Linked DNA regions of Stegostoma tigrinum. The protein of the gene in region 1 binds, or shares a complex with, the protein of each later gene. Links are inferred from orthologs where the notes say so. Each region holds a gene or a part of one and is shown on either strand. Other genes may lie near its edges. The genes, in order: tnksa and usp25.

Evidence for each region.
Region 2: the proteins of tnksa (region 1) and usp25 are in contact, whole or in part, in a crystal structure (PDB 5GP7), measured with the Homo sapiens proteins. The link is inferred for Stegostoma tigrinum from reciprocal best matches to the Homo sapiens genes TNKS and USP25. Residues at the interface, in NP_003738.2 of Homo sapiens: Arg836, Ser838, His842, Leu843, Gly846, Tyr847, Leu871, Asn876, Ser879, Tyr880, His882, Asp900, Trp902, Phe904, Glu909, Gln912, Lys913, Gln934, Glu935; in NP_037528.3 of Homo sapiens: Ser1046, Ser1048, Arg1049, Thr1050, Pro1051, Ala1052, Asp1053, Gly1054, Arg1055.

Annotation. Positions count from the first base shown.
Region 1 is NC_081356.1:13,986,849-14,004,255, reverse strand, and holds the start of tnksa (poly [ADP-ribose] polymerase tankyrase-1), read right to left. Parts: upstream 7,079-17,407; 5' UTR 7,026-7,078; coding exon 6,686-7,025; intron 1-6,685.
Region 2 is NC_081365.1:8,216,502-8,232,958, reverse strand, and holds the start of usp25 (ubiquitin carboxyl-terminal hydrolase 25), read right to left. Parts: upstream 7,606-16,457; 5' UTR 7,553-7,605; coding exon 7,511-7,552; intron 1-7,510. Other genes in the region: zgc:153372 (arsenite methyltransferase), read right to left, coding at 13,569-13,703. UniProt on the Homo sapiens protein: Deubiquitinating enzyme that hydrolyzes ubiquitin moieties conjugated to substrates and thus, functions in various biological processes including inflammation and immune response.

The DNA.
Region 1 (17,407 bases):
TAAGCATCAAGTGAAAATTAAAGTGCCAAAGCTGCATGTCTTAAAAGCTAACTGGCTGACAAATAGAAAATGAACACAATACTGCACTTTGTATCACAGGATGAAAACAAACTTGAAGCAGCTGCAAAACAAATGGAATTTTTTTTTGATAGCTGCAGGGGCTAGGTAAAATACTACTGCTCTCAAAGCATTTACAAACCAAAGCAGACTAATCAACCCAACAGCTCAATACCAGTGTTCAGGAGCAATAAAAACTTCCTCATACTCTACTTCATCTCATCCTGTCAGCATATCCTTCCGTACAATTCTCCCCCCATATACGTATTAAAATTCCCCTTAAAATATTTATACTAATCATCTCAACCACACTCAGTATCAAGTTCTGCATTCGAAGTATTCCCCTACAAAAAGTTCTCCTGCATCTGTTTTGGATCTGTTGATGACCAACTCACATTAAATCACCTTTAGTTGCGGGCAACCCAACAGTCAAAACGCCTTCTCTTCTTCCCCCTATTACTTCATTATTTTAAGATGTCTCTCTGGTCTCCTCCCAAACTTCTCTTATCTAGGGATATTAAAAAAGGAGCTCAACCATTCAGTTTTCCCCGACAGTTCCAATCTCTGGAGTTTTAGTAGCATTTTTGGAAATCTTTTGTCCTTTATGCCTTTTAGCAATAGGAACAACATAATTGAGAATACTACTCAAACATTTTATATGGGCTCCACATACAGAGAAAACCATATGCCAATTTCAAATACTGATCCAAAATTTGTACTGTTAAGTTTATAGCATGTTACAATTAGTTACCCTGACCCAAATTTCCAAATACTTTAAAATCTTTTTTAAAAAAATTATTCTTGGGCATAGGTGTTGTTGCAACACCAGCACTTATTGCCTGGCACTAACTGCCTGGAAAGGAGATGGTGACCCACCTCAGCAGCTTACTAGATTATTTAAGAAGATAATGAAATGTCAACATGCTGCTGTGGGTCTGGAGTCAAGTTTAGGCCAGACTGAGAAAGGACAACAGGAATTCTTCTCTGAAAAATATTGATGAAGCAGATGGGTTTCTACAACACAATCTGGTAATTTCATGGACACAATTACTGACGGCTATTCACTCCAGATTCACTTGATAAATTTGAGGTTTGTAGCTAGCGAAATTTGATCTGTCTCCAGATCATTAATCCTGACCGCTAGACTCCCAGTTATGTTACTGAACTATCATTAATGCAGAACCTCTTCAAAACTCTAATTCTACTTCAATCTATTTATCTATTCAAACATAAAATTAACGTTACCTATTTTTGCTACAATCAGACAGTAATGTGGAAGTATCACCATTCAAGCAGTTGACAACAGAATACTGCAAATCTAATGCATCGTGACATCAACTTTTGTGATTTAAATCTCATGTAGTGTAAAACCTAATGTCATTTGATCCATCAAGTTTCCCATCAAATAAAGGTAAAATACTGTGGAAAATGGAAATCTAAAACAAACAGGGAATGCCGGAGTAACACAGCTGGTTGAACAGCATCTGTGGAGAGAGTGGAAAAAAAAAGTTAACATTTCAACTCTGACTTGAAATGTTCACTTTTCTCTCCACAGATGTTGTCAGGCCTGTTGAGTTTCTGTAGCATTCTCTGTTTTTGTTTCAAATTTCCCATCAGCTGGGTACTGTTTTGATTACCCCCAATAACAATCCTTTGGAGAAGGCAGGGGGACACCCAATTGCAACTACCATAGATGCAAATGATAAAATTAAACTTGGCAATATAACTTAAAAATGGGATGAATTTTGGCAATAGCTTTGTCTGGTGAATGCTAGACAGTTTACCATCTTGACCCCACTGCTCTGTCTCAGCTATGGACAGCAGGCATTGGCATTTGAAAACTAGGGTATACAGTGAGGTACAGGGCCCATGGCAAAAGAAAACAAGTCTGAAACTAGATCTCTGCTAAAAAGATAAATTTTCTTTCTATCAAATGTTTCATTGGCCAATTCTGCCCCATTCCAATGGAACAACATGCAAAAACATCTGAACCGAACACTCAGTTCAGGATAAATTAAAAACTAGCTTTACTAATTCACAAACTTCATCCTTAAAATGGAGGATCATGATGATCATCATTCAATCAATATCTCTTAGTGCCTCAAACAGCTTATTAACAATTGTGAAAGAGGAATTTCCTAATTTTACAGATTACATTCCAAATAATCTATTCTAGTACTAAATTTTCAGCAATATTTGCCAATCATACATGAGCTGAATTCAAAACAGAAACTTTTGACCAAATAGTCAATTGCTAAGAAGTAATTTGAAGGAGAAACTTTGATAGAGCAAAGAAATGGGACTAATTAGATATTCTTTCAAAGGGCTGGGATCCCTCTGTGCTACATCCTTCTATATTCTATGAACAGGCAGTTTGAAAAGTCTAAAGCAAACCATTGAACATTCTAGCATCATGTTTTTCTTGATGGAAAAAAAGAAACTAAGTCCATACAATGTCTCCAAAGTGTGAATGGCTCTTTTCACAGTAAAATGAGGTCACGAGTATTTGTCTATATGTGATGTGTTTGAGAACAGCTGTCAACAACATATTCTCCTCCTGGCTGAGGAAACATTCAGTCCCCAATCACCTCTTGCCTCACTATTTCCATTAAAAAAGTAAATACAAGTCCCTGAAGCCCCATGACAGCCTCTATTTTTCATTTAAATATCATTAGCCTTTAAAATACCATTTTGGAACTGCTGAAAATTGAGTCGTAAATTCTCCCAGCAACATGAAGGCCTTGCTGACTTTGAAATATACAGGATATCAGCACAATCTCATTTCCTATCCCGTAGCAAACCATGTAATTCACATCAGTCACAGGTCTTAACTGCTTCAATTGCATGGGGACAGAAGCCTTTTCAACACCTTGTACCTCTCCTTTCATTCTACAGCATAATGGTTGATCTACGTCTTAAGAAATCGTCAGTTGTTTACAAACATGTCCAAAGCTGTCCAAATTATTTTCACTCCAGTTGACCTAGTATTAATGTATTCCTTGCTAAATAAATATTTTATACAGCAGAATAAAAATGTGTTTTAAAAAACCTGAAGGCACTGAAAAATGAACACTCACCTCAAAGGTACAACTGTTTTATAGACTACATAAATGCTTCAGCCAGAGGCAATGATGCTGTATAATTGAGTTCACTTAGCCAAAAGTATCTATTTAATCAGTAAAGTAGTCGTCATACTTGGACTTAAGTTTCCTACCGAATGCAAGAATATTTCAAGTCAAAGATCCACTAATTCTAAACACACTTAAGAAGCCAAATTTCCTTCTCTGTGGCAAAAATGGAGGAAAATAAAACTCCAAATCAAGTGAAATCTTCAAGCTTACCTCAAAGTAACAAAATCCAAACAAAAAAGTTTACTTAAATTCACTTCTCATAAATATTTCAGCTAGCTGATGCCAAGAGAATAACGTCCCATTCAACCAAATGTTAATCTGATTCAATTTAAAATGATAAGGTATCAATACAATTAAATATAAATGATGGCTCTGGTCTCCATATTATTAGAAATATTCACTGACAGCTTGCTGGGTTAAAATGTTGCAATATCTCACCAGAACACTGATAAAAAGGAAGATCTGCAATAAACAGAAAGATAAAGTACAACAACTGAAGTTACTGTTAATTCCTGATGAGGCAAATTTAAGTTAAAAATGGGAATTGGCTTGGACTTATTTACAATAATTAACATCACAGAATCAAGTCACAGTATCAACTTTATTCATTTCTGATTTGGTATTTTAGAAAGGTCACCTTTGCAAGGCATATTTTAAGTTGCGAAGATTCACTGCATTCAAAAACTCTATCAGAATCAACAAAACTAAAGGGACTCAGAGGAGTCAGAGATAATGGGAACTGCAGATGCTGGAGAGTCCTAGATAACGAAGTGTGCAGCTGGATGAACACAGCAGGCCAAGCAGCATCTGAGGAGCACAAAAGCTGACGTTTCGAAAGGGTCTAGGCCCGAAACGTCAGCTTTTGTGCTCCTCAGATGCTGCTTGGCCTGCTGTGTTCATCCAGCTCCACACTTTGTGCTCAGAGGAGTACTTTGACTATTTTAGTTATAACCCACACTGCTGTATCGGCTTTTCAGAGAGGGACCTTACATTTATCACTTATAACGTTAGTCAAGAACAAAAAGTACTACATTACAAGAACATACAATCAATATGGTGTCTTCTACATTGTGAATAAATACTATTACGACACAGAGACAGAAAGCTAAATCAAACCAGCTTTTCCACATCTGTATTCACAACATAGTGAAATTAAAACCTTCAAAAACTCTCAAAGTAGACCCCAACGATTCCTGGCCAGACTTTTTGAATAACCAATCCTAAACTGTGAATAATCAATTCTTGACACCGGGTTTACAAACTTAAACAAAAGATAACAATTTATTAACACAGCAAGTAATCTCATTCATGTTGATGATTGAAACCCAAAAACCTTTGTTGCAGCCTCCTTTCATACAAAGAGATACACAGACAGAGTTAAGGCATGAATAAAAATAACAAAACTGGCCAGATTACTTATGGGGTTTTCACAATGTCTGTTCTGCAGGCATAAACAAAGGTTTCTCGGTTGACATTCCTAAGACATCAATGTCATCTTTTCAGTTCATGCTAAAGGAAGGCATTACTTATTTACATTTTCTGAACTTCCAAGAATTGATAAGAGGAGGTTAGGCAAGGAGCTTTCCAACTTTCATGCTGTAACATCAACAAACTCCTCCTCTCATAAACCAGTCCAAAAACCAGTTCAAACTCTGGCCCTCCCTCTGTTTGCCAATCATGTTCCCTTGCAGACTTGCTGGTAAGAATTCCCAGGTATTGACATTGTCAATGGCCAAACATCTGCTGTCTGGTTAGACAGACAGCTTTCCCCAGTGTCAAATAGTCTATAGAATCCTTTTGATCAAGAATCAACCTGTAATTAACTTTCATACTTGACGTCACAAACAAACAATGGCTTATTTTTGTTTCTAACAGCTTCAGTTCACAGTTCTCAGCAATAAACCAAAATTAATAAAAGAATAACACAAAAATAAATTTTAAAAATCAGTGAGTTCTAACAATACTTCTGGATTCCTTTCACTCCCCAAACCGGGGGGAAAAAAAAAGCAAAACCACAAAATACTTATCCAGTCTATGCATCCTCTTAAACCAGGACACGCGATCTATGTATTCGCCAGTCACACCAAGGAAATTCTTAGCAACCATTTGGTCCATTGTAGGTGGGCAGCATGGTACCACTGTAGTTCGCACTGCTGCCTCATGGCATCAGGGACCAAGGTACAACTGAGTGACTGTGTGGAGTTTGCACGTTCTCCCTGTATCTGTGTATGTTTCCAAAGGGGAATTCAGTTTCCTCCACACAACCCAAAGATGCACAGGTTAGGTGGATTGGCCATACTAAATTGCCCCGCAGTGTTCAGGCTATGTGGATTACCCATGGTAAACATAGGATAGAATGGGTCAGTGCAGACCTGACAGCTGAATTGCCTCTACTTGCACTGTACAGATGCTATGATTCATTGTGTATCACAAAGCCCTTTTATTAATTTGGACATGGGACGTGGGCATCACTGGCTGGACCAGCATTCATCACTGCAGAGCCATCAATTAGGAATCACATACAGCTCGACCAGGTAAGGATGATAGATTCCTTCCCTAAAGGACACGAAAAAACAAGGTGGCTTTTTACAAGTCAACAATGGTTATATGGTTGTCATTAGGCCAGCTTCAATTAATTCCAGATTTTTTACTGAATTAAAATTCACCTGCCGTGGTTGGATTTGATCCTATGTCCTCACTATTAGTCTCTTCTGGTTCACTAATCCAGTGACATTACCACTACACTGCTGCCTCTCCTTAATGTTATGGCCTCCAAACCTTTTACCAATTAGATATGCACTTTTAAGCTAATGGGGAGCAGTTCAGAAGACAGGAAAAGACCTATTTTATCGAGACTAAACCTTCCTTTCTTGGGAATATCCTCTCCAAGCTCCTCAGATCCGAGCCATCCCGACGGTGGAGGAGGTTAGTGGGCGAGTTGGTTGGCCTTGTCACTACCACCATTTTCAAATGCTCCAAAATTGACAAGGTACTTTTACTTGAGAACAGACTTGTGTGCAACAAAATTTCGACACAGCCGCCGCTGCTGTTACAAATGACCCAATAATGAAACTAATGTTTACATCGTCAACGCGAAATGAAGATTTATCCTCCCCGTACCATTCCCGTTAACACGTTCTCCAGCTCCCGATCTCTGTGAAGTCCATTTAAATAATATGAATTACTGCCACACGATAATTGACAAAGATCGTATGGGGCTATCACTCTTTTAATGCAGTATCCGCAGTTTGAAGAGGGCCCATGTTCGGACTCTGATTTTAAGCCATCCTTGTTCCTACCCTTGTTCAAACCCATGGCAACATCTTCATCCCTCACCCCGCCCCGATCCCAAAGTTGTTGCGTTGTTTTGACGGCGACGAGTCCAGGCCTCTTGAGGTTCTTGATCTCAGCCCCGGACTCCCATCCGCACACTAGGAGATCATTGACCGCCCCACCTCCTATAGGCCCCGCTCTAAAAGCCTGATCGACGTACAAACCTGCGGCGAAGTGCAGCGGCGTGGATTTCCTGCCGGCCATGTCCTTGGCGTTCACATTGCCCGAATCCACCAGTCGCTTCACCCGCAAAACATCGCCGTTCCTGCAGGCCTCGAACAGTTCTCGGCCCGAGTCATTCACCGCCCCCCCTCCACCTCCTGTTGTTGTAGTTGTTGGTGGTGGTGGCGGCGGCGGCACCGCTGCCCCGGAAGGCGGGGAGGTGGCGTTGCCGCCGGTGAATCCTGGCGAATCAGGCCTGTCGGAGGCCGGTGTCGGGGTTGGGGTGGAGCTCGGGCCGGGGTCCGAGGCGCTGGGAGAGAGCTGGCTCCGCCGCGCCGCCATCTTCGACCGTCACTGCAGCAACGCCGGCTTACGTCACTGAGGCACTGAGCGCGCACGCCGACACCAAGCGGCGGCGCCCGTCGGGAGGTGGGGGTGGAGTGGAGTGAAGCGCACGCGCATCGTGCACGTACCCAGCACCGGCCCTACGGACGGGCATGTTTCGGGGATGGGGGGGGGATCGGGGGGTGGTGGTGAGGCTGACGCGGGGTGACACCTCCTCACGCCAATGGACAGCTTTTCGCTACCTGATTGGTCATTCTTCAGGGCCTTTTGATTGGCCCGAACTCTGATTGGCCGATTTGGGAACTCCTTGCATGCGCTCACCTGTGCTCGTGGGCGGGTCAAAAGCTGGAGCCTGTCATAGTGACGCGTTGCTGAAGAGTTGTCGGGTTGAGAAGCTGGCCTAGAAACAGCCTCTGAGTCGAAAATAGAAATTGGTGGATAAACCTGAATTTCAGTTGTATCAGTGGCAGGAGTCTGGGAGAAAGCACAAGGGCATCCTGGGAAGGTAAGCTTCCACCCAATGAATCTGGGAGTTAACTAATACCCAAGATACTACACGTGTAACCTAACCTAATAATAATGATTAAGTGTGGTGAGCAGGTAAGCTATTTGCATTTTTTTTTCCTCATCTCTTTGTTATCTTTTGGGTTGGTCACCTAGACACCAAATCCTCTGGGAGCAGGTTGGAAGGCAAAGCCGGAGTCTGTTTGAGTATATAACGGAGAAAACTGGTGCAGAGAACACTGCAAAATTACAAAAAATCTAATTAATTTTAAATAATTAACTAAGTAGAGGTGGCAGGCCAGGTGATGTGTTGTAGCTGTATGATGTGGGAGCTAGCTGATCTGATTGAGAACGGCAGTGACCACATCTGCAGTAAGTGTTGGCTGCTTGAGGAGATCTGGCTCAAAATTGATGAGCTGAAATCCAAATTCCAAACGCCGTGACACATCCGGAAGGGGGAGAAATACCTGCATGCTGTGTTCCAGGAGGCAGTCACACCTGGTAGATTAACTAATGTTAATTTGATCAGCGGGCAGGGACAGCAGTGTGTGACTGAGTGAGGCAGGTAGAGGGACTGTGCAGACAGGAACACAGGAGCCTTGACATTGTCCCACAGGTGTGAGGCACTTGCCCCCTGTGTGGATGAGGAACAGGGCTGCAGGAACTGACCATGGCCCAGGAGGCCATTCAAGAGGGAGGAGCAAAAAGACAGTTTGTAGTTGTGGGGGATTCCATCATCAGGGGGATGGACAGTATCCTTTGTGAGCAGGATAGACAATCCCACATGGTGTGTTGCTTGCCCGGTGCCAGGGTGCGAAGAATTCCTGACTGGCTTGAGAGGATACTAGAGAGGGAGGGGGAGGATCCAGTTGTTGTGGTCCATGTAGAGACCAACGACATAGGCAGGAATGGGGAAAAGATTTGTTTCGGGATTATGAAAAGCTAGGAACAAAAGTTTAAAAAAACAGGTCTTCAAGGGTCATAATCTCTGGATTGCTACCCGAGCCACGTGCAAATTGCCTTAGGGAGGCGAGGATCGGGGAAGTAAACATGTGACTAAAAGAGTGGTGTGAGAAAGAAGGTTTCTTTTTCATGGAGCACTAGCATCAGTTCTGGGGCGGGAGGGATCTATACCACTGGGATGGACTCCACTTGAACAGGGCCGGGTCCAGAGTTCCAGCGAAAATAGTAAATAGGGTGGTTAATAGGACTTTGGACTAGTAAGTAGTGGGGACGGGAGAAGTGAGCATAGAGGGAGAATAAGAATTAATGTAAGGCAAAGCAACAGGTTAGCAGGTGACAAAGAAGCTTCAACTCCATTGAAAATTAGGAAAAAAATTAAAGGGAAGGAGAACTCGAGAGCTGTTAGTAATGAAGGTGATAGGACCCAAAAAGAAGGTGCAAAAACTTACATAAGGAAATTTTATTTGAATGCTCGGAGCATTCGAAATAAGTTGGATGAGTTGACAGCACAAATCATGGCAAATGGGTATGATTTAGTGGCCATTATAGAGATATGGATACAGGATGGTCATAACTGGGAGTTAAATATCCAGGGGTATCAAACTGTTCAGAAGGACTGACAGGAAGGTAAGGGAGGTGGTGTTGCTCTGATTTGTTAAGGATGATATTAGGGCGGTAGTTAGAGATGATTATAGGTTCTACTGAACAAAACGTTTGGGTGGAAAGTAGGAATAGTAGGGAGAAGAAGTCATTGATAGGTGTGGTCTATAGGTCACCAAATAATGACATTGTGGTGGGGCGGACCATAAACATAGAAATAGCTAATGCATGTAAAAATGGTACAGCAATTATCATTGGGGATTTTAATCTACATATCGATTGATCAAACCAGGTCGTTCATGGCACCCTTGAGGAGGTGTTTGTAGAATGCATCCGCGATAATTTCCTTGAACAATATGTAATGGAACCTACGAGGGAGGAAGCTATCCTAGATCTAATCCTGTGTAATGAGACAGGAATAATTAATGATCTGACAGTTCGGGACCCCCTCGGAAGGAGCGATCACAGTATGGTTGAATTGAAAATACAGATGGAACATGAGAACGTTAAATCCAGTACCTATGTCCTGTGCTTAAACAAAGGAAACTATGAAGGAATGAGGGAGGAGTTAGCTAAGGTAGAATGGGAGCAAAAACTTTATGGTGGATCAATTGAGGAACATTGGAGGACTTGCAGTGTTCAGCAGAAGTATATTCTAGTGATAAAGAAGAACTGCAGGAAAAGAGAGAGCCAGCCATGGATGTCTAAGGAAACAAAGCATCAGATTGAAAAAAAAACACATACGACAAAGCAAAGAGTAGTGGGAAATTAGTAGACTGGAAAATCTTTAAAGGCCAACAGAAAGCCACAAAAAAAAGTTATAAAGAAAAGTAATATAGATTACGAGAATACAATAGCTCAGAATATGAAACCAGGCTGCAAAAGTTTCTTAAATATGTAAATTGTAAAAGACTGGTGAAGGTAAACATTGGTCCTTTGGAGGATGAGAAGGCCAATTTCATAACGGGGTATGAGGAAATAGCTGAGACATTAAACAGTTATTTCATGTCGGTCTTCATAGTGGAAGATACAAATAACATTCCGAAAACTAATGGCAAGATGGTTATAGCAGGTGAGGACCTAGAAATTATCATTATCACTAAGGAGGCAGTGCTGGGCAAGCTAATGGAACTAAAGGTAGACAAGTCTCCTGGCCCTGATGAAATGCATCCCAGGGTACTAAAAGAGATGATGGGGGAAATAGCAAATGCACTAGTAATTAGTTACAAAATTCACTGGACTCAGGGGTAGTTCCCGCAGATTGGAAAATAGCCAATGTGACACCACTGTTTAAAAAAGAAAGCAGACAAAAACAGATAACTATAGGCCAGTTAGCTTAACTTCAGTAGTGGGGAAATTGCTTGAATCTATCATTAAGGAAGAAATAGCAAGACATCTGAATATAAATTGTCCCATTGGGAACACCCAGCATGAGTTCATGAAGGGTAGGTCATGTTTAATTGATTTGGTGGAATTCTTTGAGGACATTAATTGCAATGGGGAACCTGTGGATGTGGTGTATTTGGATTTCCAGAAGGCATTTCACAAGGTGCCACACCAAAGGCTGCAAAATAAGATAAAGTTGCACATTATTACAGGTAATAGCATGGATAATAAAGCATGGATAGAGGATTGGTTGACCAGTAGAAAACAGAGTAGGGGTAAATGGGTGTTTTTCTGGTTGGCGGCCAGTGGCTAGTTGTGTGCCTCTGGGATCAGTGTTGGGACCGCAATTGTTTACAATTTACATAGATGATTTGGAGTTTAGACTAGGTGTGGTGTGTCAAAATTTGCAGATGACACTAAGGAGAGTGGTAGATCAAAGTGTGCAGAAAACGCTGAAAGTCTGCAGAGGGATTTAGATAGTCTAAATGATTGGGCAAAGGTCTGGCAGATGGAGTACAATGTTGTTAAGTGTGAGGTCATCCATTTTGGTAGGAATAACAGCAAAATATATTATGTTTTAAATGGTAAAAAATTATAGCACGCTGCTGTACAAAGGGACTTGGGTGTCCTTGTGCATGAATCGCTAAAAGTAGGATTGCAGGTGCAGCAGGTAATTAAAAAGGCAAATGGAATTTTGTCTGCCATTGCTAGAGGGATGGAGTTTAAAAACAGGGAGGCTATGCTGCAGCTGTATAGGGTCCTGGTGAGGCCACACCTGGAGTACTGTGTGCAGTTTTGGTCTCCTTACTTAAGAAGAGATATAGTAGCACTGGAGGGGGTGCAGAGGAGATTCACTCAGTTGATTCCAGAGTTGAGAGGGTAGGATTATGAGGAGAGACTGAGTAGACTGGGATTATATTCATTGGAATTCAGAAGAATGAGGGGAGATCTTATAGAGACATATAAGATTTTGAAGGGAATAGATAAGGTGGAGGCAGGGAGGTTGTTACCACTAGCAGGTGAAACTAGCACTAGAGGGCATCACCTCAAAATAAAGGGAAGCAGATATAGGCCTGAGGGCAGGAGGAACTTCTTCACCCAAAGAGTTGTGAATCTGTGGAATTCCCTGCCCAGTGAAGCGGTTGAAGCTACCTCGTTGAATGTCTTTAAGGTAAGGCTAGATAAATTTTTGAACAGTAAAGGAATTAAGGGTTATTATGGTGAGTGGGTGAGTAAGTGGAGCTGAGTCTCAAAAAGATCAGCCATGGTCTCATTAAATGGCGGGGTAAGCTCAAGGGGCCATGTGGCCTACTCCTGCTCCTAATTCTTATGTAAGCTCAGCAGGCCTGGCAGCATCTGTGGAGAGAAATCAGCATCTGCAGTTTTTGTCAGTTCTAACAGCCTCTGAGTATTTAACTTGCAATTTGACACAGGCTTGAGATCAGGGAAAGTAAAACTCAGACCTCCAGAAAGTCTGCAAGGGAAGTAAACTGGTCTCTATCTGAGAGTCAAAATAAAAAGTCCACACTGCAAGACCCTGGTAGCAACTTACAACTCAAGTAAAATCGTACATCCATTGACCTCCTGCCAAAATGAGGATCTTCTATCATTCTGGAGTTGATCGTAACATGATACAATTGCCAAAAAACAAACTATAAAGGCATCTCATTCCCACCCGTGGAACTGACTGTTGAACCACAGAACACTTTTTTTGTCAATACTTTCCACCAATCATATTTCTGCAGAGCCATGTGTCCCATTTGTGAATTATTGTATGCAGGTTTGGGTTTAAAGGAGACATTGCTTAAGATTGCTTAGTAGCAGCTTTTAACGTGTGTTGCTAACTGTTAAGGAATAAATTTGGCTTTTAATTTTCTTTTGTTTGTTGATAAATCCGGTGGGAGTTTCTGACCTAGATATCAATCAAAGTCAGACAGATTAATCAGCTTGGTGATTCAGAGAGTTCTAGAGCCTTATTGCATTGACAGAGGTTGTTTGGCTCTTCGTGTTTGTGTCTGCCATCAAGCAACTATCTATTTTGCAGCATCGTGCCTGTCGCCTTGTACATTATGGTGTTTCAAGTGTTAATCTTGAATTTACAGCTAGTGCATCCCATATTCTTAACTGCTCACTGTGTGGAAAAGTTATCTCTCACATCACAAAAGCTTCAGTTACACAACACTCTCTAAATCTTTGCCTTCTTGTTCTGTTTCTTTTACAACTAACTTAAAATCTCATCTACAGCTATAATGTTTTAGCAAAGATCTGCAGCTTGGTCTAGGCCTGAACCATCAGCTTTCCCGCTCCCCTGATGCAGCTTGGCCTGCTGTGTTCATCCAGCTTTACACCTTGTGATCTCAGCTTGGGTTGTGGTTGGTGTTGTTGGTTTGTTCGCTGAGCTATCTGGTTTTCCCTGTGACATCTTCAGCACTGTATAGCTTCAGTTGAAGCTGTGTTACTCTGACCCACCCTGAATGTATATGGTCCGGTTTGGTTTGACTAGTCACCAGGGGAATAGAGAACAACAATCAACTCTAGACATAATGTTGGAATGAATAAACAATGGTGAATTCCTCACCAGTGTATATAGAAAAAGACAACATACACAGAACAAATCCTGAATTACAACAGTAACAGTGACCACAAACAGAGCTGTGTCAAGACTCTGTTTAAACGAGCGATTAACACACTGCAATACCCTGGAGCTGTGCAAAAACAAAGAGGAACATCTGTACAAAATCTTTACAAATAATGAGTATCCTAACAGCTTTATCCACCGATGCCTAGCAAGTAAACAACACCAACACACTGGTCACCCTACCTTATATTAGAAATATATCAGAACTGACTATGAGATTCCTACGCCCTGTTGGAATAATGATAGCACACAAACCAGCAGCCACACTTTGCCAGTTACACTCAAAGACGAAAGACCCTATACCCACAATGAGCAGGAGAAATGTGATATGCAAAATACCATGCAGCAACTGCGAGAAGCACCACATAGGCCAGATGGGCAGGAAACTTGCCACCAGGATACACGAACACCAACTCACAGCAAAACAGCATGGCCAACTCTCCTTCATTCTATTACATTCTAGTTTAACTGGACAAAGTAACAATGGACAAGCAAAACAAAGACGAATTCCTGGAGGCCTGGTTTTCAACCACCAGTGTGATAAACAAATATATTGAAATAGACCCCATCTACGTACCACTGCAGTGCAAAACCTTTATTTTGTCCATCAGTTTTCTTGCATGCCTCCTCTTTGTTCTGTACCTTATTCTTGAGATAACTTCCTGCGATTTCTACACTCTTTTAGGGCTTCTGCTATTTTGAGTCCCCAGTATCAGCCCTAACCTTACCTATTTTCCTAATCCATATATATTAGTCGACATCAGGGTTCTCTAGCCTTCTTGGTCCTACCCTTCACCCTTAGTAAAGTGCAGGTTATTTTCATATGTCCATTTCAAATGACTCACACTGCTCTTATGTACATTTCCTACAAGCATCTCCTCCCACTCTGTTTTGGCCATTGCTGTCTTATTAAAATTGGCCTTTCCCAATTCAGAACCTTTATTTTTGGTCCACGTTTATCATGTACCATAAATACCGTAAGTTTTACTGAGTTATGGTCAGGTCATCAAAATGCATCCCAATTGATACTTCTACCTCTTGCCAGCTTTGTTCCATAAAATTTGGTTCGACACCACCTGTGGGACTTACCACATCTTGACCCAAGATGTTCTCCTGGATACATTCTAAGAGTTCCACCTCTCTAAGCCTTTCACATTTCTATCCCAGTTAAGAGTAAAAAAGTTGAAATCCCCTACTATTATTACCTTAATAATTTTCACTTGAGATGTGTCCACAAATCTGCCTTTTTATCTCTTTCTAACTGTTTATTTGGGAACCTATACTACACTCCTAACTGGAGGACTTCCACTTTTTGTTTTTAACTTCTATCATGTGGCTTCAATTTGGGATTCTTCAAAGATATCGTCCCTCCATATTGCCAGAATTAACTCCTTGATCATTGCTGCAACACTACCTCTTTTACAACTCCCTGCTCCACCACTTGACTGGCCTGAAGTTTCCGTACCCTGGGTAGTAATTATATCCCCATTTAGTAAGCAGCATCCTCAACTCATCTGCCTTACACCTTGCATTCAGTTAAATGTTATCTAACCTTACCGTGCTCTTTGTGCCTTAACTAGATTATGAAGACTCCGTCTTCCAGACTGATTTGGTCTTCTCTATGTGTGGATCACTCTGTATTGTACCTCTATTCTGTATTCTATTGCCCTGGCAAACTAGTTTCAATCCCCACCAACAGCACCAGCATACCCCCCACTCCATCCTTGTAGGGATGTTGGTCTGGTGCAATCTGTCACCCTTGTCCAGGTGTCACCTTCTCTATGACATCAAATCAGAATGGATGTGAGTGAAGGACTGTCAGTCCTTTAAATGTCCTCAACATGAATTAGATAGCAGGCAAAAGAAGGGACTTAAAGTCAAAGTTGAAACAATTACAGTGGAAGTAAATTGGAGGCTAAATGGTGAACCAATGACCAGTTGTCTATGTTTGGACAAGGGTGAAACAAGTAAAAACCAGAAACGGAGGGTAAAGTAACGGAGGGGTGGCATGGTGGCTCAGTGGCTAGCACGGCTGCCTCACAACGCCAAAGATCCGGGTTCGATTCCAACCTTGGGGGACTGCCTTTGTGGAGTTAGGGACGTTTAGATTAGGTGAGTTAGACATGGGTAATTCAGGGATAGGGCAATGGGTCTGGGTGGGATGCTGTTTGGCGGGGTGATGTACACTTCTTGGGCTGAATGGCCTGTTTCCACACTGTAGGGATTCCATGGAAATGTTTTAAAGTAAGTGACTTTGTAAACCACTCCTGAATGAAGATCCAGGAGGTGTACAAAATCAGTTGGAAGGCAGAAATATGATCAAGTTGGAAATGATCATTAAATTCACAGAAGCAACCAGGGCTTGTACCTTAATACAGCTGAATGACCAGGAACAAACTATAGCTGAAGCCAAGAAACTAGTGCAACCGGTCTCCAGTCACAGGCACAGCAGGAACTGAAGTCTTTTGCTCACAGCAGCTTGGGGGAAGGGCTGAAAATTTGAGAACATTACTTCAAATTAAAACAGTAGATCAGAGAAAGAATCTCACTCTTAAGATTTAATTAATATTGTCTTGTGGAAATCCAGAAAACTGGTGGCCTAAAGAAGGATTCTGATTGATTAGGAGTAGTACTATGGAAATCAAACCTGAATGGTTGAAGTCTTAGACTACAGTTTCAGTGGTGATAGGATAAAGGTAAAATTAGAAAACAAATTGATTTGATGTTTTTAATTACAGTCATGTGTAATTTGTTACAAAATACAGTGAAAAGTGTTGTCATGTTGCCACTTTCTGGTGCCACCTTTAAAGTACAGAAAAATATACCAAAACATAGAATATAAAGACAGAAAAGTTTTTTAAGAAAAAGGAAGGGTGTTCAACTTTACAATCCTTGTTCAGTGCTCCATCATGGGCCTGATGGCCAGTCATGAGTCCCCTTCGCTGTACCGCTGGGATGAAAGTTGCAGTTCTTCGATGCCATCTCACCTCCATGAAACCCTTGCTGAACATTGCCAGCGCACACAAGTTATGGGAGAGGAAGCTGAGTTCATGGCCAGGTAGAATACCACAGCTGTTTAATCAACTTGAGGTAGCAGTAGTGAACATTGCCATCAATCAATACCATGCCAAAGGAGAGGAGGTGTATACAATGGCGTCAGCTTTACAAAAATTATTCCCAATGAGTGAAATGTGATTGGACTCTCCATTTCAATACTTTTCTGGCTGGAAGCTAAAGAAACATATCTGTTTTAGAAAAGAGATAGCAGGTACTGCAGATGCTGGAGAATCTGAGATAACAAGGTGTAGAGCTGGATGAACACAGCAGGCCAAGAAGCATCAGAGGAGCAGGCACACTGATGTTTCAGGCCTAGACAGGTCTAGAAGGTTCTAGGCCTGAAACATCAGCCTTCCTGCTCCTCTGATGCTGTTTGGCTTGCTGTGTTCATCCAGCTCTACACCTTGTTATCTCTGTTTTAAAGAAGTAATCTTTGAAATAACTGCTGGGTGTTTTTATAAAAAGATTGCCTAACATTAAAGAGCAAGGCATTTCGTAAAAAAGTATGAGAAAAAAAAAACTTGAGGCAGCAGAAAATTAGGAAAAATTGCCAAAATGTTGGACCTTGAAGTTTTTTTTTAAAAAAGAGAGGAAAATAAAGTGGACAAGTTTCAGAAGCAAGTTGCACTTAGTTTTGTACATCATATTTCTGAAAGAATATATTAGCTGTGCAGAGATAATAAGCACCACCGATCCTGGAGTCTGAAATAACACAGTGTGGAGCTGGAGGAACATAGCTGGCCAGGCAGCATCAGAGGAGCAGGAAAGTTGATGTTTCAGATTGGGATCCCTCTTCAGAAATCTGAAACTGATTTCTGAAGAAGGATCCCGATCTGAAACATCAACTTTCCTGGTCCTCTGATGCTGCCTGGCCTGCTGTGTTCCTCCAGCTCCATACTTATTATTAGCTGTGAAGACTCTACAAACTGGTCAAGCCACCATGGGCCCAAAACTGGACATTTTAAATCAACCAACAGTCAGAGAAATTGAGCCTAACAGAAAAGCAGTCAAACCAAATTAAACAGCAGTCAACAGCTATCAGCTGCAGAGAATGGTGAAAAATAAATCTAGGGAGATCACAAAGGTGCTGTAGGATCCAGTTATAACCAGCTTGAAGGGTGTGTGTTGGGAAAGTTTCAGTCAGACGTCAAGTGTCTTGACTTCCAGGTACTGCCTGAGGAAGTGCACTTCACACCTTCCCCTCGTGTCAACAGTGAAGGGTGTTGATGCA
Region 2 (16,457 bases), on another chromosome or scaffold:
TTGACCTAAACAGTGTGCATTCAGTATGCCCTCCGAAATAAAAGAATTGCTGAGAAAGGTACAGTCATCAGACCTCTTCATCTTGCACTCAACTGGACATTTCACAAGGACACCAATTCAAGGAGAAAGTCAATGCTTACAGTTCATGTGAAGATGGCAAGTAGACTCTAGTAGCCAGAGGTGTTGCCATGGGGAATACACCTATTAAAGCTGATTGACAGTTAACTGCCAGGGTTTTTTTTTATAAATGATAAACCAGACAAGTTGACTCTAATTAGTCAAGGCATTGTCCTGAGAAATTAACTGGTGAACTGTTGTCACCTATGTTGAATTGAATCAGGCAGAGGCTGTACACATTCTTCCTGGCTGCAAAGAAGAAGGGTCTCTGCATCACACTGTAAGCCCACTGACAAACCTACGTTGCTTCTCAGCATAATTCTTCTCTTACACAGGATTATCCAGCAATGCCAGATTTCAAATCATTCAAGCTCTGTACTGCCAAACAACTATTTCCAAATAAATGTTACACACTTAGATGAATATAGCTTAAATGGACCTCAATAATTAATCAACTACAATTGCAAAGTTTCATTATTAAACTAATACAAGAAAAATGAAGATTGGAGGCAGATATTCGGGGGCAAATCAACATATGGTATATGGCAGGCTTTTAAGTGTAAGTTGCTGGGAACTCGGGGCTGGCATGTTCCTTTAAGGATGAGGGATATTGTGTAGCAGGTTTAGGGAGCCTTGGGTGACAAGGGGTATAATCAGAAAGAGAAAGGAATCATTTCTGAAGGCCAGGAGGCTGGGAACACACTAAGCAAGGGTGGAATCCAAGGAACATCAGAATAAACTTAAGCAAGGAGTCAGGAGGGCTAAAAAGGGTCATGAACAGTCATTGGCCAACAGGATTAAGGAAATCCCAAGGCTTTTTTTTAACATAAAGAGTAAGAGGGTAGCCAGGCAGAGGGGTGGTCAACTCAAGGACAAGGAAGGGAACTTATGTGTGGAGCCATAGGAAATGGGCAAGGTATTAAATGAGTACTTTGCATCAGCATTCACTATAGAGAAGGACTCGGTGGATGATGAGTCTGAAGAAGGGTGTGTAGATGGCTTGAGTAATGTTGAGATCAAAAGGGCAGAAGGTATTGCAGGTCTTGAAAAACATTAAGGCAGACAACTCCCCAGGGCCTGTTGGGATATACCCCAGGATACTCAGACAGGCAACAGAGGAAATTGCTGGGGCCTTGAGAGAAATCCTTGTATTCTCACTGGCTACAGGGGAGGTCCCAGAGGACTAGAGAATAGCCAATATTGTTCCTTTGTTTAAGAAGGATGGCAAGGATAATCCAGCTAATTAGAGGCCGGTGAGCCTTACGTCAGTGGCAGGGAAATTATTGGAGAAGATTCTTCACAACAGGTTTTACTCCCACCTGGAAATCAGTGGGCGTATTCAGGAGAGGTAACACAGTTTTGTAAAGGGGAGGTCGTGTCTCACTAACTTGAGTTTTTTAAGGAAGTGACAAAGATTATTGATGAGGATAGGGAAGTGGATATTGTCGACATGGGCTTCATAAGGCCTTTGACAAGGTCCCTCGTGGCAAGCTAATACAGAAGTTAAAGTTGCATGGGGTCAGAGGTGAGCTTGCAAGATGGATTAAAAAAAACTAGCTCGTTCAGAGAAGACAGAGGGTAGAAGTGGAAGGGTGCGTTTCTGAATGGAGGGGTGTGACTATCGGCGTTCCACAGGGATCAGTGTTAGGACATTTGCTGTTTGCAATATATATAAATGATTTGGAGGAGAATGTAGCAGGTCTGATTAGTAAGTTTGCCAATGACACAAAGATTGGTGGAATTGCGAATAGCAATGAGGACCGTCAAAGGATACAGCTAGATGTAGATCAGTTGGTGACTTGGGCAGAGAGATGGCAGGTGGAGTTAAATCCAGAAAAATGTAAGGTAATGCATTTTGGAAGGTCTAATCCAGATGGAAAATATACAGTAAATGTCAGAACCCTTCAGAGTACCCTTAATAGGTGGATCATTGAGTTTAAAAATTGGCAGGTAATGGTGCAGCTTTATAGAACTGCAGTTGGGGCGCATTTGGAATACTGTGTTCAATTCTGGCCGCCACACGCCACACTACCAGAAGGATGTGGGGGCTTTGGAGAGGGCACAGAAAAGATTTACCAGGATGTTGCCTGGTATGGAGGGTATTAGTTACGATGAGAGGTTGGAGAAACTTGGGTTGTTCTCACTGGAACGACGGAGGTTGAAGGGCGCCCTGATCGAGGTCTGCAAGACTATGAAGGATGTGGACAGACTGGATGGTCAGAAGCTTTTTCCCAGGGTGGAAGAATCAGTTACCAGAGGCCATGGGTTTAAGGTGCAAGGGGCAAGGTTTAAAGGTGATGTACAAGGCAAGTTTTTTTTATATACAGAGGGTGATGGGTGCCTGGAATTTGCTGCCGGGAGAGGCAGTAGAAGCAGAAACTATGGTGACTTTTCAAGGGCTTCTTGACAACTGTATAAATGGGATGTAAATAGAGGAATACGATGCCCAGAAGGGTAAGGAGTTTTAGTTGTGATGGGCAGCATGTCAGTGCAGACTTGGAAGGCTACAGGGCCTGTTCCTGTACTGCAATTTTCTTTGTTCTTTGTACACAAATTATACATAATTGGGTTGACTTAGTCATGTCACCACTTAGTGGCAATTGGCAGGAGAATCAACAGATGTTTAGATGTTTCCTCAACTAAGGAGACATGCCAAACTACCTCACCTTCCACCCTCCAAATCCTATTTACTCAACTCTGAAACAGCCAGCATTCCGCAAAGACAATCTGAACTTCTTCGTGAAGTACAACAGCACTGACATTAAAAACTGGGATGAGGCTGCAACCAACTGCTCAAAATAGCAACTTCTCCTTCAAGCTGCATTATGTTTTGAGTTCAAATGCCTCAATGATGAGATAGAAAAAGAAAGAAACAGCAAATCCTGCACTGAGTCCCAATATTTTGCCAACCCTACATGCCTAAACATTTGCAAGTTGCCAATCCGCTTGTTCAGTCATACAAAGGCCCATCACTGAAACTATGCTCGATATTGGACACTGTCCTCAAACTGTACAATAGACACAGACAAGTAACTCAGTCTAGCACGGGTAACTGGTAGCATGTAAGGATTACGATTTCAGAACTCCAATTCCACTAATCTCTATACTGCATTTTGGATGAGATATTAGAATTATTCTCCGTTTACACTCTCAGATGGAGGTAAAAAAGAGAATCCCATGAAAAGATTTTGAAGAAGAGCACAGCAGTTGTCTATGTTGCCTTGGTCAATACTCATCCCACAAGCAACATCACAAACTGAGTACCTGGTTAGCATTACGTTGCGGCTTCTGGCAGCTTGTTGTGCACAGGCTGGCTGCTGTATTCCCTACATGGCAACAGTGACAACATTTCTAAAGTTTGTCAGTGACTGTAAAGTGCTTTGTGGCATCCAGTAGTCAACGGAAATGCAAAAATGACAGTCAACTCTTTCACAGTGCGCCCACCCCGCCTCTGGAATAAACCGATTTTTAAACATTGTCAATGTGATGTTACTTATTGTATAACATGCTGCAACTCTATTTCAATCCCTGGTGGTGTTCAAGCTCAGTGTCTTGTTCATTGATCAAATTTCAAACTCCAAGAAAAGGTTACTGACAGCCAACTCATGCAGCAATTCTGACCTAAACCCCTACCCAATATCTACCATCACTGTCGTTCCTTTAACTCTAAACCAATTTATTGAAAGACTTGTCAATAATTTTCTGAGCTTTTTCCAAAATAAATTACAACTTTGCTAGAACTGTTATCACATATGTCCTTATCTGACAATGAGGCCAGCTCAGGCTTTGATGATCTCTAGTCTCCCACATCTCATAAAAGCAGGTACAGGTCGAACAATGCCTCAAGCTTGCTATGCCAATCATCTCATAAAAGCAGGTACAGGTCAAACAACGCCTCAAGCTTGCTATGCCAATCAATTAGATCAATGGTGATCTGTGCCTTCACCCCATTTAGCTGCCTTTGACCCCCATTCTCTGATTGTCTCACCTGACAAAGTAAAAATCAATTCATCTCAACTGTGAAAGGGGCAGTTGATCACCAGTCTTAAGCAAGCTTTTGAAGGAGTATTCCAGATCTCTATAATGCTGTGTAAATAATCAGTTTTTGATTTCACACCAACAGCACCAAATTCAATATCCCTGGGTTTAAATCACAGCCTGCCCTCATTCCACACTACATCTGTAAACTCCTTTATCTCAGTCAATGCTATACAGTCTTTCACCTCTGGCTCTCTTCATATATGCACAATTTACACCAAACAGCACTGAAGAAAGGTCTCGACCTGAAATGTCAGCTTTCCCGCTCCTCTGACGCTGCTTGGCGTGCTGTGTTCATCCAACGCTAGACCTTGTTATCTCAGATTCTCCAGTATCAGCAGTTCCTACTGTCTCTTAAGTCATCTCAATTCTACTTTTGGAATAACATCCCTAGGCTACTCTCTATTGCTCAGTCCTTCACCAGCTTTGAAAGCTGGATTTTGGATGACACTCCACTCTACTGATCGATCTTGTCACAAAATGGCTTCAACTACTTCAATATTTTACTCTGCAGGTCTGTTGGGTTTTAAAATATTGACATTAGCAAGAAAAATTTTGGTTGAACGAACAGCAAAAGCAGCACAAAACGGGCCAATAAAATTGTACGGAAGACAATACAAAAGTTTCAATAAACTAAGATCTCTGAAAGCTCTGTATAGAAACAAGCTATTAATCCTAAAATAAAAATTCATGAATCCTATCACTATGCAAGCAGATGGGCTCTCTAAACATGAATTGAAAGGAAATGAGAAAATAAACATTTGCAATACCTTGTCTGATAAGAAATCATAAGCAACAGACAAGAGCATCTTAAAATATGCATCTGTCGACCTTTAAATCTAGGCCAACATCATAACTTAAAGAGAAAATATGTCAACAGTATATCATAGTACAATATATGTAAGATATACAAAAGCATACACAATATTTACATTATAATCATTCATCAAAACTCAATAGGTAAATAACTCAATAATGTATTAAGCATCAAAAAAACAACTTCAAAACTTCAGTTTATATCGCATCTTTCCTGATCTTCGATTATCTCAAAGCACTTTACAGACAAACAGGAACTTTTGCAACATAATCACTACTGTAATCTGGGAAAAGTGGCAGTCATTTTGTGCAAAGCAATGCCCCAAAACCACAATCTGATCACGAACATAGTATTATAATTTCAGTGATCAATATCTTGGCTATGCCAGAGGTTAAGTTCCCCATTCTTCTTTCATATAGTGAGGTCAGCTTATTCTACTTCCACCTGAAAAGAGTGATGTGGCAATGCCGCTGTTGGACTGGAATGGACAAAGTCTGTGTAGATTTGTGCGTATGTGAGTGTGTTGCGGGGAATTCAGTGTGTGTGTGTGTGTGTGTGTGTGTGTGTGTGTGTAAGTGAAGGGTGGGGGGGGGGGGGGAGACTGAGAAAATGAGCGTGTGAGAAACAACAGATGAATGAACACCACCCAACAATCACCAGACAAGAATGTTCCCTCCAAGTGGGGGAAGACTTCGACACGCAAGGACGCTTGACCTCGGATCTTCAAGTGGACTTTGGGATACACAACAATGAAGAGACACTGAGCAGAGGCTAATAGCCATGTCTGGTACCCAAGAGGATGGCCTCAACCAGAATCTTGGGTTCACATCTCACTACAAGTGACGCCCCCCCCCCCCCCCCCCCCGCCACAATACACACTCTTGTATACATATACATGCACACAACTCTCTCTCTCAAACTAAGATAACAAAGTGTGGAGCTGGGTGAACACAGCAGGCCAAGCAGATCTTAGGAGCAAAAAAGCTGATGTTTCAGGCCTAGACCCTTCATCACAAAAGGGTCTTTTCTGATGAAGGGTCTAGGCCCGAAACGTCAGCTTTTGTGCTCCTAAGATGCTGCTTGGCCTGCTGTGTTCATCCAGCTCCACACTTTGTTATCTCGGATTCTCCAGCATCTGCAGTTCCCATTATCTCTGATCACTCTCTCAAACTGTCTTTCTCTCACTCAAATCAATCGGGTCAATACGTATTGACAGCTACATTTTAGTTTGTTCAAAAAACACACAACTTATCAACAATTTTTTTTAATATAAATGTCTACTTTGGAAATAAAACCAGTCTGATTCCAAACTAAAACACAAACAGATTCTAAGCAAAGTCACACACCTAACTTGCATTGTCTAACCTAAAATGTCAACTCTTCCTTACTCTGGTAAAACCTTCAGTTCTCTCAGGACTGTGGCTTGAAAGGAATTCGTGGATTTACATATCCATATTAATTAAAACCTTAAAACTGATTAAAGATTTAGCAGCATCTTAAATTTGTTTAGGATATTCTCATCAATGGTGTGGAATGTTGATCTTTTACATATAAATTGTCTGATACTACCTCTCATTAACAACTAAATGACTGAGGCTCAGAAAGCTTGTGTTTTCAAATAAACCTGTTGAACTATAACCTGGTGTCGTATGATTTATGACCTGAAAACAGCAGAAGGTATGGCTCTTCGACATATCATTTTGAGAGAAAGTACCTCAGACAGTGCACCGCATACACACAACATGGTTCAGAACAAAAAGAGTGAAAATGCATCACGCAGTTCAGAAAATTTCATTCCACTGCCAGAACGAAATTGTTACAACTTGCAAACACAACGTGATTAATATGCCAAGGTGCTCCACAGGAGCACTGTTAGACAAGATTTGACACTGAGGAAGGGGGCAACCAAAAAGCTTACGGTTTTAAGGAGTGCCTTAAAAGAAGAGTGCGGAAAGGATCAGGTGGGAAAAATGCAGCTTAGAGGCTGAGGACACAGACAAATAAATGGCTGATTTTGTTAGTGAGGCTTTACAATTGTCCTCTACTATGGGCTGTGCCTCAAAGGAGGGAAAATTCAGGTGAAACCCTAACACTACGTCCAAAGTGAACTGAACTTGCCGCCCTCACCGCCAGGCAAAAATAAACAAGTTACAAATTTCATTCTCAGCCTGATTTAAAACTCAAAACCTTGCTGGCCTAGGCGCAATATCTCGGAAGAGCCTCTCGACCTGGGGCTGGTGCCAGCTCCATTAACACCCTGGGCGTTACAGTAGCATTATTATTGTTGCTGTTGCTAGGCTAGGCCAGAAGCCTGCGGCTCGCGTGCCAGCGCAGCGGGGGCAACAAGCTCCTCAGGCGGTGACCGAACGGCAGCGGTCTGGGGAACGGGGGGTGGTGAATGCAGGCGCGGGCGGGCGGACCCTCCCGAGTAAAGGAACATTCAGGGGCATCGTAGGTCCATGTGGACAAGAAGGCCGCGGACAGGCGGGAGGGGAAAAGGCAAGGTGGGAAGGAACCTCTCCTTTCCTGTTTGTTTACCTTCTGTGAATGCTGCTGCAGGACATTTTGTTCCACCGTCATGGCCGATCCACAAACAGAGAGAAGCTGCAGAGGGGGAGGGGCACAGGGTGGAGACTGGGCGGGGCTGCGATACTGGGCGGGGCAGGATGAGGGGTGGGACTAGAATAGGGGGCGGAGCTGGATGTGGAGCGTGTCTGGGTGAGGGGTGGGACTAGAATAGGGGGCGGAGCTGGATGTGGAGCGTGTCAGGGAGAGGGGTGGGACTAGAATAGGGGGCGGAGCTGGATGTGGAGCGTGTCAGGGTGAGGGGAGGGACTAGAATAGGGGGCGGAGCTGGATGTGGAGCGTGTCAGGGAGAGGGGTGGGACTAGAATAGGGGGCGGAGCTGGATGGGGATCGGTTCAGGGCGAGGGGTGGGAATGGCATACGGGTGGAGCTGGGCTAGTAGGGGAGCGGAACAGGTGGGGCTGGTAGAGGACAGGGAGCCTTGCTGGGAGATGGGCGGGGTTGAAGGTAGGGTGGGGCTAGGAATGGGGTGGCTAGTATGGCGAGGGGATGGGCCGTGGAAAGGAGGCAAGAGCAGATAAAGGGTCTGGAAACAGGGGTGAATGTGTGGGGTCTGATTGGTGTAGGGGTGGGGCTGGATGCTGCAGGAATGGGGCTGAATGGCGAAGAGGTGGGGCTGAGTGGTTTATGGTTGGGCTGTGGTGTAGGGGTGGGGCTGAGTGGTGAAGGAATGTTGCTGAGTAGGGTAGGGGTGAGGCTGAACTTGGGAAGTGGTTGTGGCATGGAGCGAAGGAGATGGGGCAAGATGAGTGGGCTTGGCAGGTAGATGGGTAGGTCTGAAGAGTGTAGGGGAGGGACTGGATTTGGAGAGGGGTTTGGAGAAAGGGCAGGGACATGCTGGGTAGGCATGGGGCTTGACAGGGAGAGAGGGTGTGGCTTGGTGAGGACTATGGGATGTGTGGTGGAGGGGTAGGTCTGGATGTGTGGCCAGGGTGCGGATAAGTGGGTGGGAATGGGGAGGGATGGATGCGGATGTGGGAAGGTGTTGTGCAGGGAATAAGAATGTGGTCGGGGTCAATTTGGGTGGGTGGTGTGAGGGGAGGGGCTGTTTGTGGAGTGGGGATGTAGGTAGGGGAGAGATGGGGGCAATGAAAAGGTGTGGTATGTGCAAGGTCTGAAGGGGCGGAGCAACGGTTGTGGAGGTTGTGGGGCGGGTGGATAAGATGGTGGGTCTGAGTGGGGGAGGGATTGCTACTGGGGTACAGTGACAGGGCTACGTCAAGAAAAGGGGCTGAAGGAGAAGAAGATGGAACGGCTGAGGGCAGAATGAGGGTGAGGGGCTGGTGTTGAGAGGGGAATGTTAGAAGGTTGGGTTTGGAGTTAGGGGAGGCATTGGATGTGGAGACAGGGTGTTGGGGCTGAAGTTGAAGGCAGGCGTTGGGATTGGAAGAGGAAACAGGGAGAGAGGGTTGGAGGTGTACATGTGGAGAGGCAGAGAGTGTAGACAGTGTGAGAGGGTGGAGTAGAGATGGTAGGGGCAAGGTGGGGGCCAAGATGGGGGGTGCTGAGGGTAGAGAGCATGGGTGAGGTGGGTTGGAGAGTGGAGGAGGGGTAGTGGAAGAGAGAGGTGGGAAAGGCTGGGGGAGGAGAGATGGTGGGAGAGGCTGGTGGTGGAGAAAGTGGGTGAGGTTGAGAGAGGGGATGGGGAGGTGGAAGTGCGAGGTGTTTAAAGGCTATTAGGAGAGTGGCTGTGTTTTTAGGGAATGCTGAGGGGCACAACCCGGGGAGGCGTAGCTTCTGGGGAAGAAATGGGTTGGGTAATGGGGATTAGCTGGGGAGAATGGGAGGGTCATTTGAGTGAGGGAGGAGCTGGGGTTGGGTATTATTTGGGGATGGGAATAACGAGAGTTCCCCTTCAAGCCACTCATCATCCTGGTATGGAAATGAATCACTAGGTCAAAATCCTAGAACTCCCTCCTTAATAACACTGTGGATCTACACTTACTTTAAATAATGCTTTACTGTATAGATTAGTTCCTGACTCTCATTTACATTTTATAAGTACATGACAACAACTGAAGGAGGTCCAGTGTAACCTCACCCCAACGAGAACAAAACAAAGATAATGGGAACTGCAGATGCTGGAGAATCCGGGATAACAAAGTGTGGAGCTGGATGAACACAGCAGGCCAAGCAGCATCTTCAGAGCAGGAAAGCTGATGTTTCGGGCCTAGACCCTTCATCAGAAAGGTCTAGGCCCGAAACGTCAGCTTTCCTGCTCCTCTGATGCTGCTTGGCCTGCTGTGTTCATCCAGCTCCACACCTTGTTATCAAGAACGAAACAAACATTGTTATGACCACACCTTTGCCTTTTCCCAGTCCATCACTGACTCCTCCCATCCCTTTCTTGATAGCTCTGTTTCTATTTCTAGGAATAAGCTGGCCACCAATATCCATTAAAAATCTACTGACTCCCAAGGTTAATTTGACCAAATATCATCACACCCTACTTCCTGTGAGTACTCTATTCCATTCTCCCAGTTTCTGCATCTTCATTGCATTTGTTCTGATTATGTTACCATTTGCAAGTGACCCTCAGAAATGTTCACTTTTTTCCACCACCAAGAATATCCTGGCACAATGGTTGACAGGGCCGTTGGCCATGTCTGTTCCATTTCTGCATTAGGTAACCCCTCAGTCCCCTCCTGCAACAACAATCCTCATTTTCCACTCCACCAGCCTCTGTATCCAAAGAATCCATCATTTACTCCACTTCCAACAGAATGGCACCAGCAGACACACATTCCCCTTCCATGTCAGCATTCTACGGGGACTGTTTTCTCCGGCACACCCAGGTCCACACCCTCATGGTGCCTTCTCAGGCCTTTGCAGAAGGTGTAACACCTGCCTATGTATTCCCTCTTCACTAACCAAGGACCCAGACACACCTTCCAGGTGAAGCAGCTATTTACCTGTACTTCGTCCAATCTAATGTACTGTATTCGCTGTTCACTATGTGAACATTGGTGAGACAAAAAGTAGCCTGGGGTGACTGCTTTGTCAAACACCTATGCTCAGCTGATAAAATTGACTCCAGCTTCCAGCTTTCTGTCACTTCATCATATCACCATGTTCCCATGGCAATTTTCTGTCTTAGGCCTGCTGCAGTGCTCCTGCAAAGCTCAAGACAAGCTGGAAGAACAACACATCTTTCGCCTCGGTACCTGGTAGCTTTCAGGACTGAACATTGAGTTTAACAATTCAGAATGTGGTCATCACACTCCATGTTGGCTACCCTCCCCTTTTACCCCCGCGTTATCTGCATTTCTGTCTACATAGCCAACACATTTTCAACTGTCCATACGTTACATTATCACTCTACTTAGCATTTATCTCCCTCCTGGCTTATCATTGGATATTTCTATGCTCAACTCTTTGTTTGCCTGTCCCTTTCTCTCACTCTCTCCCTTTCTGTCTCTGTCTGTATCTATCTCTCTCTCTCTCTATCTTTGCCTCTCCCACTCCATGTCTGTGGTCTGTCTCTGTGTAGTGTAGTCACTTCTCTGCACTCCATCATTAGCAGAAATTTACTGTGTTTCTCCAGGACTCTGTTTTTGTTTTAGATTTCCAGCATCCGCAGTTTTATGCATTTATATTATTATTTATGACCAGGGAAGGATGAGTGTATGGCTGCAAAATAAATTTTAAATTCTTTTTAGCACACATTTATTTCAATTAAAATGTAATACTAGTCAAAAGTAAGGAGTCAATCAACGGGTTTCCTTCGGTGAAAGAAAGGAGGATTTTATTAATTACTGACCCTTAAAAAAATAAAAATGAGACATCAAGCACACATGCAAACACAGATATAACATTTCAAAAGAGACAGTATCTAGTAAGAAGAAGGGAATTCAAGTGTATACAGTTTGAAACGTCTATAAGGAGTTAGGTTTAATGTGCGACCCCGGTTATTAAGTTGATGATTCTTATTTCAGCAGCAGTGAAATTTCTGAATATCTTTCTGTTCTTGGTGAATATATATTTCTCCAATTTGCTTCTAACACTGGGCATTGTATTTTAAGGGACACTGAGTGAAACAGGGAGAAAGGCAAGCAAGCCTTCCAGTTCTGCTATTATACACTTGAGTTTAGAAGGATGAGAGGGGATCTGATTGAGGCGTACAAGATTATTAAGGGATTGGACACTCTGGAGGCAGGAAGCATGTTTCCACCGATGGGTGAGTCCAGAACCAGAGGACACAGTTTAAAAATAAGAGATAGGCCATTCAGAACAGAGTTAAGGAGAAACTTCTTCACCCAGAGAGTGGTGGATATATGGAATGCTCTGCCCCAGAAGGCAGTGGAGGCCAACTCTCTGGATAGTTTCAAGAAAGAGATGGCTAGAGCTCTTAAAGATAGTGGAATCAAGGGTTATGGGGTAAGGCAGGAACAGGATACTGATTGTGGATGATCAGCCATGATCATAATGAATGGTGGTGCTGGCTCGAAGGGCCGAATGGCCTACTCCAGCACCTATTGTCATTGTCTATTATGAATCCATTTACCCTCTCTCAATCAATGCTCAAAGGTATTTGTCTTAAGTATTATTCCTTTATGTATTCCTGTGTCTGCTTTCATTGGTGTTTGCAAGCTGAATACTCCATAATTGATGTTCATCCTAACGTTGAAACTTACAGAATGGGATAAATCAAACAGGAGATACAGATCTGAGCGACTAATCTTATTAATTTCAGTTCAGAATGGGTCTTGTTGATTGGTGATTTCATGATGTGGCTCATCTAGAGGTCTTACAATTACTGTGGCCATCATGTTAGTTTTTTTTATCAATTTAAAAGATATATTTTAAATTGTCTCAACAAAACATCCAAGATATTAAAACTCAGACGATAAAAATCATAAGTTGGTAGACCACTTTTTCCGCTATCAGAACAATGTGGGATCAAATAAAGTCAACTGCCTTCACTACTCTTGTGACTAACAAATGCAGGTCACAAAGGAACAAGGTGTAGAGCTGGATGAACACAGCAGATCAAGCAGCATCAGAGGAGCAGGAAAGCTGACATTTCGGGTCTGGACCCTTCTTCAGAAATGGGGGAGGGGAAGGGAATTCTGAAATAAATAGGGAGAGAGAGGGAGGTGGATAGAAAATGGATAGAGGAGAAGATAGGTGAAAAGGAGACAGACAGGTCAAAGATGCGGGGGTGGAGCCAGTAAAGGTGTGTGTAGGTGGGGAGGTAGGGTGAGGATAGGTCAGTCCAGGGAGGAAAGACAGGTCAAGGAGGCGGGGTTAGAGCCAGTGAAGGTGTATGTAGGTGGGGAGTTAGGGAGAGGATAGGTTAGTCCAGGGAGGAATGAGGTCAAGGAGGCAGGATGAGGTTAGTGGGTAGGAGATCGGGGTGGGGCTTGAGGTGGGAGGAATGGGGAGGGTATCAATGTGGAAACCCTGCAGCCCAATGTTATCAATCTGATTTCACAAGCGTCAAAATCTCCCCTCCGCACCACATCCCAAAACCAGACAAGCTCGTCCCCACCTCCCTAACGTGTCCTCCCACTTATCCACTCCTCCCACTCAAGCTCCACCCCATTAACTACTAGCCTCATTCTGCCTCCTTGACCTGTCTGTCTTCCCTGGACTGACCTATCCCCTCCCTAACTCCCCACCTATATTCACGTTTACTGGCTCCACCCTCGCCTCTTTGACCTCTTCTCCACCTATCTTCTCCTTTATCCATCTTCTAACCGCCTGCCCCCCCTCCCTATTTATTTCAGAATCCTCTTTCCCGCCCCCATTTCTGATGAAGGGTCCAGACCCGAAACATCAGCTTTCCTGCTCCTCTGATGCTGCTCGGCCTGCTGTGTTCATCCAGCTCTACACCTTGTTATCTCAGATTCTCCAGCATCGGCAGTTCCTACTATCTCAGGTCACAAAGTTGAAGTCTTAAAACAGGAAGCAATGAAATAATGGCAACTTTGTTTTCTTCTGTTTTTTTTTATTCAAGCTTGCTGAATCTGCAACAGTGAGATGTCTTCAGTTAATATTGCATATATAGTTAGCTTTTTGCTTCTCCACATTTCCATGTCACTTCAGTTTGATCTTCACAAGGACCATCTTTTTGAGTCTTGGAGCATTGCTGAATGGATGATCCCAATTTATTAGCCAACTGGAAGGGATTCAGGTGGCAATACTAGAGAGACAGAGAAGGAGGGAATGAGTTTGTTAGAGACTGTGTAAAAAGAAAAACGCTGGTAATAATGAATTCTGCTCTGAGAAAGACATCAATTGCTCGTGGATAAAAGACCCTTATACGTTTGTCATCAATCAGCCAGATTGAGAACTTCCAGGTCAATGTTTTAACTGCAACTTTGAGATTCTTCTTCTCTGTTCGAACAATATGTCTCACTTCCAGTCCCTGGATGTAAATCCTCAAATTTTCTCATCAGGGTTTCCATACCCTCACTGCATGATGCTGCGGATGATTCACTTACAGGGACAATACTGTGTTATATACAAATAAGTCTTAACAACTGGAGGAAGTCATTTAATTGAGGAAGCTAAAATAGTGAAGGGTTTCATAAGCTCATGTGAGCCAATGATCTAATTAGAACTAACTCTTTGAAATGAATACATTCTTATAACCTCCACAGAGACACAATATTTAAAAAGAAATTCAAACTTTCAGAAAGAATGAAATTTCAATATTTGACATAGAACATAGAACATTACAGCACAGTACAAGCCCTTCGGCCCTCGATGTTGTGCCGACCTGTCATACCAATCTCAAGCCCATCTAACCTACACTATTCCATGTACGTCCATATGCTTGTCCAATGACGACTTAAATGTACTTAAAGTTGGCGAATCTACTACCGTTGCGGGCAAAGCGTTCCATTCCCTTACTACTCTCTTAGTCAAGAAACTACCTCTGACATCTGTCCTATATCTTTCATCCCTCAATTTAAAGCTATGCCCCCTCGTGCTCGCCGTCACCATCCTAGGAAAAAGGCTCTCCCTATCCACCCTATCTAACCCTCTGATTATTTTATATGTTTCAATTAAGTCACCTCTCAACCTTCTTCTCTCTAATGAAAACAGCCTCAAGTCCCTCAGCCTTTCCTCATAAGACCTTCCCTCCATACCAGGCAACATCCTAGTAAATCTATCTCCTCTGCACCCTTTCCAAAGCTTCCACATCCTTCTTATAATGCGGTGACCAGAACTGTACACAATACTCCAAGTGCGGCCGCACCAGAGTTCTGTACAGCTTCACCATAACGTCTTGGTTCCGGAACTCGATCCCTCTATTAATAAAAGCTAAAACACTGTATGCCTTCTTAACAGCCCTGTCAACCTGGATGGCAACTTTCAAGGATCAAGGATTGCAGTACATCTTTTAAAATTTGCTGGCTAAGCAGCATTTATTGCCCATCCCTAATTTCCTAGAGGACAGTTAAGTGTCAACCACATTGCTGTGGGTCTGGAGTCATATGTAGGCCAGACCAGGTAAGATCATGGCTGATTTGCTTGTCTTCCAAATTCCACATTCTCATCTAACCCCAATAACTTTGACTCGCTTGCCTAGCAAGAATCTATCCATCACTGGTTTCAAAATATTTAATGGCTCCATCCTCATCACCTGTGAGCCAGAGGGTTCCACAGTCATAATTCCTCCAACAGAAAAAAAAATCCCTCATCTCTTAATTTTCAAATAATGCCAACTAATTCTGGGCTCACTCAAAACAGAAGGTATCCTTTCCATGTCTACCTTGTAAAGATTGATTAGGATCTTGTAAGGTTCAATCAAATCACCCTTCACTCTTCTGAACTTCAACTCTTCTAAACCAGGAAACAAGCCCAGCCTGCCCACTCTTTCCATCATAAGAGGTCATTACAGGCATCATAGTGTCATAAAGTCATACAGCACATCAAACCAGTCAATGCTGACCATAATCCCAAAGTAAACTACTCCCACCTGCCTGTAATTGGCCCATATCCCTCTAAACCTTTCCTATTCATCGACTTATTCAAATGTCTTTCAAACAATGAAATTGGCATCCACCACCTCCTCTGGAAGTTTATTCCGCACATGAACCACTCTCTGTGTAAGAACATTGCCCCTCATATCTTTTTTAAATCTAACTCCTCTCAACTTACAGATATGCCGCCTAGTCTTGAAATCAATTATTTGAGGCATTAGATGCCTCCCATTTACCTCAGCCATACCCCTAATGTTTTATTTTTTACAAACCTATATATGGTCTCCCCTCAAACTCCTACACTCCAGTGAAAAAAAATCCAGCCTATCCAGCCTCCTGTTAAAACTCGAACCTTCCAGGTAACATCCTGGTAAATCTTTTCTGAACTCTCTCCAATTTAATAATATCCATCCTTTTGCAGGGTAACCAAGAACTGGACACAGTACTCCAGAAGGGGCCTCACTTTCATACTGTACAACCTCAACATGACTTCCCAACTGCTAAACTCAAAGGTCTGAGCAATGAAGGCAAGCACGCTAAATGCTTTCTTAACCACCCTGTCCAAATGTGATGCAAACTTCAAAGAATTATGTATCTGACCTCTTATGTCTTTCTGTTTAACAGCACTATCTCAAGCCTTACTGTTAATTGTGTAAGTCCTGCCCTTGTTTGTTTTCCCAAAATGCAATACTTCATATTTATCCAAATTAACCTCCATCTGCTACTCCTCAGGGCAATGATCCAATCGATCAAGATCCCTTTGTAGTCTTCCTCACTGTTCACTATACCACCAATTTTGATCTCATCCGCAAACCTACTAACAATGGCCTCTTCATTCTTGTCTAACTCATTTACTAGTAAACCTCCTCTGAACTACCTCCAATGCATTTACATTCTTCCATAAGTAAGGAGACTAAAACTGCACACACTATTCAAGATATGATCTTACCAATTCCTGTATAAGT